Linked DNA regions of Arabidopsis thaliana. The protein of the gene in region 2 interacts with the protein of the main gene of each other region in a pairwise test. Each region holds a gene or a part of one and is shown on either strand. Other genes may lie near its edges.

Region 1 (4,390 bases), on a different chromosome or scaffold from region 2:
ACACCATCGAGACAGATTTAGGCTCTTTCGCCTATTCCTTCTTCATGGAATATTTTCCCTAGAAATTCCCTGTTTTATAATTTTGACTTCATTTTTTGGAGAGGCCGGGAATTCAGATTAGGAGAGGAGGTTTTAAAACTCTTTCCATGGATAATCTGGTATATCTGGATAAGTAGGAATCACTTTGTTTTTGAAAAATGACGATATCTTCTTCTCAATGTATCTCTTTAGCTCTCTATTCTCAATATTTCCTTGTTTGTCGCTCTCTGTTCTATTTTAGAGAAGAAGAAGAAATGAGAAATTGTTTTCAATTTGAAACCCTAGATTTGGATTATTTTTCCCCAATTCGCAGCTACGTTGTTTTGTTAGTTTGAAAACCCAAAACCGTTAATGTTTATAAATTCACATCCTTGGGTAAGTCTCAATGAAGGTTTTGAGAACAAATGGTTATATATGTACCACCTTTAAAAGGGACAAGGTCGAAGATTCGAAATCCTTGTTTTGCAATTTTATTTTAAGATTTTAACTCCAAAAATGCAAAACAACGTCGTTTATATACACTTCATAATCCACATGTTTGCTGAGTCAGATTTGTAACGATGTTGACTAACACATGTTAGTTTGAATCTGATTTTTACACTAATTATCAAGTTCATGTATAAATTTCAAATAATTGTGCGGTTTGGGTAGTAAATCCTATACTATTAATTGGAGACTACACTCATAAGTTGTCACATTCAAAAGTGTAACAACCACATTAATATGTCATAGAAAAATATAATCATAGAATTTGATCCACTTAATAATCTCACGGGTCTACGGATTCTAAAACGGTCAAGTTATTATTTCTAAAAAAAGAATAACCAATCAAAATGATCATATAAGATTTGATATCTAACTTACCATATTAATTTGTTATTAATTATTATACTTCACCTCACATCTTTTTATCATACTATTTTTGTGAACAAAATAGATCATCATATCATCCATAAAATATAAAAATAAATAGATTTTCAGACTTAGGTAATATATATTCTTAAAAAAAATAATTCAACAAAAGTTTTAACTGACTGACGGGCCAAAATTTATATTCGATTTCGTAGAATTGTTTTTTGAAATAATATTATATACCACCATAATAAAAAAAAAAAATTTTGAACATTTATAAATATTGTAATTTAATATTTTTAAAGAATATCACAATTATTTAATAAATCAAAATTTGAAAAATTGTTAGTACTCTAATTTGATTTTTTAAAATAGATATATTTAAAATATTTATAACAGGTGACATATTTTTTTCGTCGAAAAGATAATTTTATTAATTTAAAACGTCATGATACAATTGTTCACTGGGCCATAATTGCAGGTACATACAATCAGAAAAATAACAAGTAGATCGACATCCCCTTTTAGCTAACAAGTGTGCTGCCTTATTACAACTTCTCTTCGCGAAGCTAAATTCAATTTTTCGTAATTTTGTAGCCCAGTAATGAATATTTTGATGAATTCTAACGATAAATATATCATACAATTTCCCCTTGGCCATATCAATCAGAAATTCACAATTAAACATGTTAAATATAATATATTATATGATAAAACAAGTTATAATGTTTATAATAAACGGTGGGTTAAAATTAGATGTGATGATTTAAATAAGGATTGCAACCTCTAAATATTTAAAATTTTGATTTTGTAAGTAATTTTTTCATTAGAATTCTAAAATGAAAAATACGGTTTCTATGTACGGGCTGAATTTTGTATTATTATATACCAAATATATGTTTATAATATATTCGATTATGCTAAATTATGTAATTAGCTCAAACAAACTTCTATTTCAACAACTAAAAAACTGAAAATTCAGAAATGACTTCCTAAATTAACTCAAAGTAATAGCTAAGTTCCTTAATTAATATATTTTAGATATGGTTCATTTATAATATGTTGACTTTTGATCTAACATAATTATATGCAATCTTATTTTGTGGTTGCTAAATTTTTTTCACTTACTACTATAATATATCAATTTGTTTTTAACAAAAATATAGAAATAAAAATTAAACAAAACTAAAATTTAACCCATGTTTATCCTACCAAATTATTCAGGTATGAAAATACACTTAGCCAACAGTAAAAATATGAAAATACCCTTTTCCTATTTGGTAGACGCAAAAATATCAAATATTATGGTATCATAGAAATATGTTAATTTTAGAAAGATCAATTCAATTGTAGTTGATTTGGAATTAATTTTTTCAAAATGGTAGAAAAAACCATCTTATGATTAAAACATTATGGCGTTTAAATGTATTTTGTGTGTAAATTTAATAACGTACAAACCAAAAGAACTAAACTTATATATATTTTTGTTTGTTTTATGTTTTTTAATATGTAAATGTTTATATATTGTATATGAATTACACAATGTTTGGGACTTTCTGCGCCTACCAGACTCGGAATTTTCTAGTCATTTCAACTGACCTGTTACACTCAATCTTAGCCGTCACTTAATCTCTTACTTTCATCCTAACCGTTGATTCTTCTTTTCCCCGACCCACACGACCTGTCAACTAAAAAAATCTTACAAAAGGCCCATCTTCAAACTTTCCCGGAAAATCCCTAGAAACCTCCAATGAACCATCCACGACCAAATCATTCTCTCCATTAAAATTATATAAACATTTTTGATGTTTCTTCTTAACCACTCAAATAGATGAAGAAATGGCGAGCTTAAGCACGAGCTTGCTCGGAATAAGACGAGGGTCAAGTAACAAGAACAAGGCAGAAGATAAGACCAAAAACGCAGTGTTTTGCAAGAAGCATCCAAAGCATAGACAATCACCTGGTGTTTGTTCTCTTTGTCTTAACGAGAGGCTCTCTCTTTTTATCAAAGCAGCTTCTTCACGTAGACCAAGATCTCGTCAAATCTTGTCTACTTCTTCCTCAACTACTTCCTCTCTTTCATCTGACGGTTCTTCTTCTGTCTCTTCTTGTCCTTCTCCTATTGTTGATCGCCGACGATACTTGTTAATGTCCGGAGGCAGCGGTAGAGGAGAGAAAGTGATTTCGTGGATGACGAAAAGCCGATCCGTAGCTTATAAAGTGGATGATGAGAAAAGAAGGAAGAAGAAGACAAAGACGAATAGTGGTTTCTTTTTTGGTTTGGTAATGGGCACAAAGAAGAGACAATAAGATAGTCAGTCTTGTAGATTTGTTAGATTAGATTGTTCTTGATTGTGTATTTTCTTGATTCTTTCATTTTAGATTGATTGCTACATATAGATGACTAGATCAGTTTGGTGGGTACGTGCAAGTGAGAGAGATTCTTTATACGTATTCTTGTGATTGATTCCCTAAGCTTGTAGTTTAGTGTGGTAACATAAAATGTGATAATCCAGATTTAATATGCGTTGAACATATAATTATATGCGCTAAATCAAGAGATTTGCGAACATGTTTTTCGTTGTTTATTTTCTTGAAAAAAAATATTTTCGTTGTTGATTTTAGTTGACCCCCCAAAAAAATGTTGTCGTTGTAGTTATTAATGTTCGCACACTTACTTGAAAGAAAACTTAGACTTTTCTTTGATGAAACTCGTGAGAATATAAAATGGAAAAATGTCAAAAAAAGCATGAACTTTCAAATTTGGGACGAAAAAAACGTGAACTTCCAAACTGCCAATAAAATTGTAAAGTTTTGCTTGACTTTTGATAAAATAGTCAAGTTTTGTTGACTTTGCCATTTTAAGCATGTCGTTAAGTTTCCGTTAACAAAAAAATAACAGGATTAATTTTTTGTTAGCATTTACCGTTAAAAGCAAAACGACGTCATTTTGAAATTGGAAAAAAGAAACAAAAACAAACACAAGGAAGAATCGAACTAGTGACCTTCTCAATGCTATTAAAGCTCTAAACCATTGAGCCATGTTAACGTTTTAGAAGTATTGTAAACATATATATATATACGTAATAAATTAAAAATAACCAACTAAAATAATTCAATAATAGAGAAAATTTACCCAATCCTTCTCATATAAATATAGGATTAATCTATACATGCACATAGAGTTTCATTCAATTTCACTTTATATATAATTTTATTTATAATAAAACATATATTTGATAAATATTTGATAAAAGATAAATATAAGATCATTATTCCATCTTCAAATCAATTTGTTATTCATATTTAGATGGAAAGTATATAAGAAAAAAAATTGGTAATATATTTATAGGTTCTATATTTCACAAGTTTCATTTTTATATTTTAAGAGAAATTTTTTTAATTCAATACATTTAATAAAAAAAATTACATTATTATTTCGAAATATATATTAATGGTAGGTGTATTTCATATTTTTACATGTTTGGTTATTGTTTTT
Region 2 (6,573 bases):
TACAAACGGTTCCATTATATATCGATGAGACGGATAGAAACGCAGCTAAACAATAGAAATGCTCACTTACCTTTGTGTCATCACTTGTCCCGTCACCTTTTGCGCCATGGTCAAGCACATTGATTGTTCCGGAACTTCCCCCTTCGGCGATAGACCTTCGGTTTCCTTTCCAGTATACACTGTACCTAGCGTCACAAGTCCCGAATCTCGAAGAGAATAAGGAGATTAAGAGGAGAAAGTTCAGGGAAAGACATTTCAATGTTAGTCTACACATCTTTAATATTGTAAACGATTTGTTTCTAGGGTAGAATTTGTTTAATTATGAGATGATATAAAATGGTAAAGCGAGGGTCATATTTATAAGTGGAGAAAAAACACTGTTACGCATATGAGAATGAATCTATGATACAGTTAAACAGTTAGATGAGGACAAAAAGCCTTGGAACTCTCTTCCTTTTCAAATCAAGCATGTTTCTACTCATTTGCTATATTTTATTAAATTGACATCAACATCTTTACTTACGATTTGGCTTTGATTTGTTGTTGAATAGGCGTGTTACTTAGAAATTGTTTTGGTCGCTACTAATATCTTAGTGTGTTCTCTAGCATTAGTTCTAATTTTCATGCAATGGCTATGTATTACTGATTTTGAAGGTTTGTGTACAGTTTTTTAGGCGCTAGAAATAACTGATTACTTTCGTTTAGAACAGAGCATAGGTCCGGTCAGATACTTAGCCGGTCTTGGTAAGCTATTCGGTTCAATGAAAACCAAAATCCATGTATCAGGCATCAATAGAAATGGCGAAAGAGTCAAGAAAAGTTGCCATACAGATGTCACGTAAACCTCATCATCAGATAATCTTATTTATGTTTAGTTCCTGAAATCAAGCAACGTAATTTATGTTAAATCGATGGTGTCACTGAATCTTTTAAAATCAAGTAATCCTTTGTTGTCAACTCATATTTGCAAAGATCCATTAATTGCAAGACAATAAGATGCTCGATATTGTTTTCTGTTTATTGTTATAGAGAGCTTAAACCAACATCTGAGGATTTCTGGTTAATTATAAGCATATTAGTAAGGTCCAGTGTATGAAATTAAACTCGTGATCTGAATACACGTGCATGAGTCCCCAGGTAAAAGGATATATAGGCTGCTATAATAAGATTTGCACGTTGCTACGTGTATGGGTGTATGCAGCCCATGCGTGTTGACAAACTTTGTTGAATTATTCTATTTGATTTCATGATCTTGAGAAGCCTATTGCTTACCAAAATTGGAATAACATAATCACTCATTGTAGAAGTTCTTCTAATCTTGTTACTATTTTATTAATTTTTCTATTGCTTTTGGCAGTTGAAAGTTTGATATATAGATTTTGTTTTCAAGTAACTGATTTCTTGTCCTCTTTCTCACAATATCTTGAATATAATAAGTACAAGATAGGTAATGGTACTTTTTTTTGGTTTAAATGAGATAGTTAACGTTGCAACGTGAGACTAATTTTGCAATATTTTGATGGTTTAATCATTTTATATATTATACAGGGGGGAAAAATGTTGGATGGCAAATCGGTGAAGTGGTCATAACTCGCAAGTCACATGAACAATATTTCTAGTACTCCGTAGAATTCGTGTATGTCCAAGTCCAACAACTCGCATAAGACGTAAAATTTGAAAATTTCATCATTGTGTATTCTTAACCCGTGATTTGATGTAACGTTTACTACGTTCGTCTATAATCTAGAGCATTGTAATAGGCGTGTATGATTGAATCATTTTAATAGTGACTATTTGTTTTTGGTCAACTTCTATATTAATGTTTTACATGCATCGTGTTGTATACTTGTATTGCACGCAATTATGTGAATAACGTCAATCGTGTACGAAATTCACTCTTTTGTCGTAACCATTTATTTACAATTGGTGATTCCTATCTAAAATCCCAATTGGCAATTATTTATTACTCGGACAAAAAAATTTAAATTCAAAAAGTGCTAGTTACAGGCCTTATCATTTAAGAGAAAGTATATAGCAAGCCCATATTCATTTAAGGCCCATCCTCGTGTAAGACCACACCAACGGTCGAATCAGACACGACATCGAATAGCGAACTAAATCTTGTCGCTTTATGTGATGACTTGGCGATTTCGTAATTGAGATTTCCTTTTCTGACAAAACAACATTACACAATTTAACAAATACCGAAAAAGTGAAGAACGAGAATCTGTGTACGCCACGCTTCGCTTAACGTTTCATACTCCTCTAACTAGTAGCCGTCCGATTAGTTTCTGGCTTTTCATGACCTAAATCTAACCGTCAATTAGAGAAGCTTACAATACACTTAACCGCAGGAAAGATATTCAAAACCATTAAAAGCAGTCAACACAAATGACGTGAGTCTTAGTAATTCCAACCAAAACACGCCACGTGTGCGGATACTCTTCTTCCTTGAGAGCGCGGACGTCAAAACTAACTATCAACTGAAACTTTGAAACTACCTATTGGGGTCCGCTCTCTCTCTCTCTCTGCCATCAGAAGAAAAAACCAAACACCGAGACAAAACACATCACGAAGAAGAGAGAGATTTGCCATTTTCGGCAAGGAAGTGTTTTATTCTAGGGCTTCTCTAGTTGCTGCGTAGACAAGATGGTGGAGTGAAATTGCGGCGGTGACTTTTCAGGTATGACGGCGCCACGACGTAGTCGGCGATTTACTTTTTGTGTTTGTTTAACTTGTTTAGCTTGACGCTGAGAGATTATGGAACAAAACATCTAGTTTTACAGATTAGGGAGGTTTGAGGTTGTGGTTAACTTTGGATAAATCTATTGTTAAATGTAGAGCTAGGCTTTTGGGAGCTCTTACTTATTAGATCTTATTCACTGTCTCTGTGCTAAAGTAATTTTTGTTCCAATTTGGTTGTGTGAAAGTGATTTAACAAAAACCTATGTTTTGTTTGTGTGTTTGGACTTAACAGATTGACAAATTGAATTAAAGATCTTGAATACATATGGCTTCTGTGGGAACATTACCAGCTTCTTCTATGGCTACAAAACAAAGCAATGCTTCTATATGCGCTGAAAAATTACCTGAAGGGATTAATGAGATGAAGATAAAAGATGATAAGGTTGAAGAACTCAGATTCAATATTGAGATTTAGTCTCTTATTTAATTTGGACTTTATGTTGTTAATAATGTGTTTTTTCTTCTTGCTGTTTGGTGGTTTCTTGTAGGAAATGGAAGCAGCTGTGGTTGATGGGAATGGAACTGAAACAGGTCACATTATTGTTACAACTATTGGTGGTAAAAATGGTCAGCCTAAACAGGTTAGCTTGTTTAACATTTTTGTTTTTGAGGAATTTCCATTATTTCTATGTTAATAGGAAGTTGATAGAAAGATCATTCGCATACATGAGTGGCACACCATATCTCGCACAACTTGTGGTTTCTGTGATGTGTAACGTGTGATAAAGTCTCTTATAGCTCTTTCTTTTTGTCCTTTCAGACCATAAGTTATATGGCAGAGCGCATCGTTGGACAAGGTTCTTTTGGAATCGTTTTTCAGGTGATGTTTCGATTAACTACCCTGAATAATTGATTTTACTAAGTAGCCGGTGCATTGACTCAATGTAGATAATTTTGTTACTTGTATATATGCAGGCCAAGTGTTTAGAAACGGGGGAAACTGTTGCAATCAAGAAAGTTTTGCAAGACAAGAGATACAAGAATCGGGAGCTGCAGACAATGCGTCTTCTTGATCACCCTAATGTTGTATCCCTCAAGCATTGTTTTTTCTCAACGACTGAAAAAGATGAGCTCTATCTCAATCTGGTCCTTGAATACGTTCCTGAGACTGTCTATCGCGTCTCAAAGCACTATAGTCGGGCAAACCAGAGGATGCCCATTATATATGTTAAACTCTATACTTATCAGGTAGTTATTATTCAGCCCACCAGAACATCTGTTCTCATCTTTTGAAATACAATGAGTTAATCAACATTGTTTCCATGATTTCTTCCTTCTGTTGTGGGTGCAGATTTGCAGAGCTTTGGCTTATATTCATGGTGGAGTAGGAGTCTGCCACAGAGACATAAAACCACAGAATCTTCTGGTTCGTATCCTTAGTTGATTTTATTCATAACATTTTATTGGTCTACATGCTTCTGCTTGATCAATCTTGTGCTTCTCGTAGGTTAATCCTCATACGCATCAGGTCAAACTATGCGATTTTGGTAGCGCAAAAGTTCTGGTATAGCATTTGTAAAGAGACATGTTGATTTGTTTTCATATTGAAAAGTTTGCACTTTTTATGGTGCTATGCAATGTTAACTAGTCCTAACTATTTTAGCTTTGCCCCTCTGTAACAGGTTAAAGGCGAGCCAAACATCTCATACATCTGCTCCCGTTACTATCGAGCACCTGAACTTATATTTGGAGCTACAGAATATACAACAACAATTGACATATGGTCTGCAGGCTGTGTTCTTGCTGAATTGCTTCTGGGACAGGTAATATGACTGTCCAAACTTTCCTCCATTTATCTTTTACAAATGATTTGATTTACCGAATGATGTCTAAAGTTATATATTACCAATCTTTGGCTTGTCCAACTTTTGGTTAGCCTCTATTTCCAGGTGAGAGTGGAGTTGACCAGCTAGTTGAGATAATAAAGGTACTTCAATTTGGTTAAACAAACACACATAATCCTAGCCATTGCTATATTGAACATAGAGTGGATCATTGATTATATGGAATGAAGAGGCTCCATTTCCTGCTATTGATTGCCATCATTTTGTTTACTGTGTGTGTTACAGGTTCTTGGAACACCAACACGGGAGGAAATCAAATGCATGAATCCAAACTACACAGAATTCAAATTCCCGCAAATAAAGGCTCATCCTTGGCACAAAGTAAGCAAACACATCATCAGTTTTTCCTTAACATTGATCTCCATATATTCTTACGATTGAAAAATCTGTTGTTGGTTCTTAAGATATTCCATAAGCGTACACCTCCAGAAGCTGTAGACCTTGTCTCAAGACTTCTCCAGTATTCTCCAAACCTCAGATCAACCGCTGTAAGTCAATGAAGTGATTACCATAATAACATTATGTTTGATATATCTGGTTGGTTGATTCAAACTTACTTGTTATTGTAGATGGAGGCGATAGTTCACCCGTTCTTCGATGAGCTACGTGATCCCAATACACGTCTTCCTAATGGTCGTGCCTTGCCTCCTCTCTTCAACTTTAAACCTCAAGGTCTGTCTCCTCCAAATATGCTTTTGTTTGTTTCCCAATGCTCCGTTTTAACAAAGACTAAAAGTGTGTGCTTCTTGTTAAATATGTAGAGCTAAAAGGAGCAAGTTTAGAGTTGTTGTCCAAGCTTATACCTGACCACGCCCGAAAACAATGTTCCTTCCTCGCTCTCTAAATCTCTTCCTCTCTCTCTATATATATGTGTGTGTGTGTGTATGTACACATGCATATAATATGCTTATCGTTTCTAAGTAATGGAGATAGCTTCTCAGGATTATCATTAGCTTTCATCTTTCATGTATCTTTGTTGTTTATTGTCTTATCACAACCTTTGTACTTTATTACATACAATGATTAGTGTAATGTATGTGACGGTCTTTGACTCGCCGGTCGCTACAGTTATGTTGGATACTAAATTATAAAATAAACTTCTCGCTCGTCACGTGTCATTGCATGCATCCAAAGCTCATGCTTCAAAGCTTAGCCAAACTTATTTTTAAAAAAGCCTATGTTCTGTGTAAAAGTGTCATTTACGAGAGTTTCTTGTTTAAGTTTAACCAATTTCACTTCCTCAAACGAAATACGGTAATTGGTAATATCCTCTAAACATGAATTATCATTGACTATAAAAATTAGTTTCGCAAATTGCCTCTAAGCACCACAAGTGTCACGTAACGTGTCATTTATTCATGTTTATTGATTTAGTTAATTAAAAACATTGTAGTTTAATTATTGAAGTAGTACAAAGAATAGGGACTAAATTGCAATACTCTGAATTTGTTTTTTTCTTTTTTAGAATCATCCGACTTTTTGTTTCACGGTTTCCTCCTCCAGTAAACTGACGACGATACAAGCTCTCTCACCAACGGCGACAGTATCTTTGCCGGCGGCGGGAGCGCTTCTGCTTAATCTGTAGCTCAAACTAAAAATTCTCTGGGTATTACTCATGGTGATTTGGAATAACGATGATGATGATTTTTTGGAGATTGATAACTTTCAATCTTCTCCACGGTCATCTCCAATACATGCAATGCAGTGTAGGGTCGAAAATCTAGCTGGTGTAGCCGTGGTAAGTGATCCAATCCAACAGTCATAAGTTTATGCCTAAGCAGAATCATTGCTTATGTGAATTTTTGTTTTGTTTCAGACAACTAGTTCTTTGAGCTCTCCTACTGAGACAACTGATTTAGTTCAGATGGGCTTCTCAGACGAGGTTTTTGCTACATTGTTTGACATGGGATTTCCTGTTGAGATGATTTCTAGAGCGATCAAGGAAACTGGTGAGGCTTTTTTCTCTTGTTTGTATTCCTTTCTG

Evidence for each region.
Region 1: the proteins of SK13 (region 2) and AT1G35210 interact in a two-hybrid assay, tested with the Arabidopsis thaliana proteins (one large-scale study listed by BioGRID).

Annotation. Positions count from the first base shown.
Region 1 is NC_003070.9:12,895,725-12,900,114, reverse strand, and holds AT1G35210 (uncharacterized protein), read left to right. Parts: upstream 1-2,439; 5' UTR 2,440-2,730; coding exon 2,731-3,201; 3' UTR 3,202-3,533; downstream 3,534-4,390.
Region 2 is NC_003076.8:4,718,210-4,724,782, reverse strand, and holds SK13 (shaggy-like kinase 13), read left to right. Parts: upstream 1-2,411; 5' UTR 2,412-2,683; intron 2,684-2,734; exon of another isoform or gene 2,735-2,802; intron 2,803-2,977; 5' UTR 2,978-3,010; coding exon 3,011-3,127; intron 3,128-3,233; coding exon 3,234-3,326; intron 3,327-3,505; coding exon 3,506-3,565; intron 3,566-3,660; coding exon 3,661-3,933; intron 3,934-4,036; coding exon 4,037-4,111; intron 4,112-4,192; coding exon 4,193-4,249; intron 4,250-4,367; coding exon 4,368-4,508; intron 4,509-4,621; coding exon 4,622-4,672; intron 4,673-4,814; coding exon 4,815-4,910; intron 4,911-4,993; coding exon 4,994-5,077; intron 5,078-5,158; coding exon 5,159-5,261; intron 5,262-5,350; coding exon 5,351-5,433; 3' UTR 5,434-5,789; downstream 5,790-6,573. Other genes in the region: AT5G14650 (Pectin lyase-like superfamily protein), read right to left, coding at 71-274; DRM2 (domains rearranged methyltransferase 2), read left to right, coding at 6,205-6,327, 6,406-6,538. UniProt on the Arabidopsis thaliana protein: May mediate extracellular signals to regulate transcription in differentiating cells.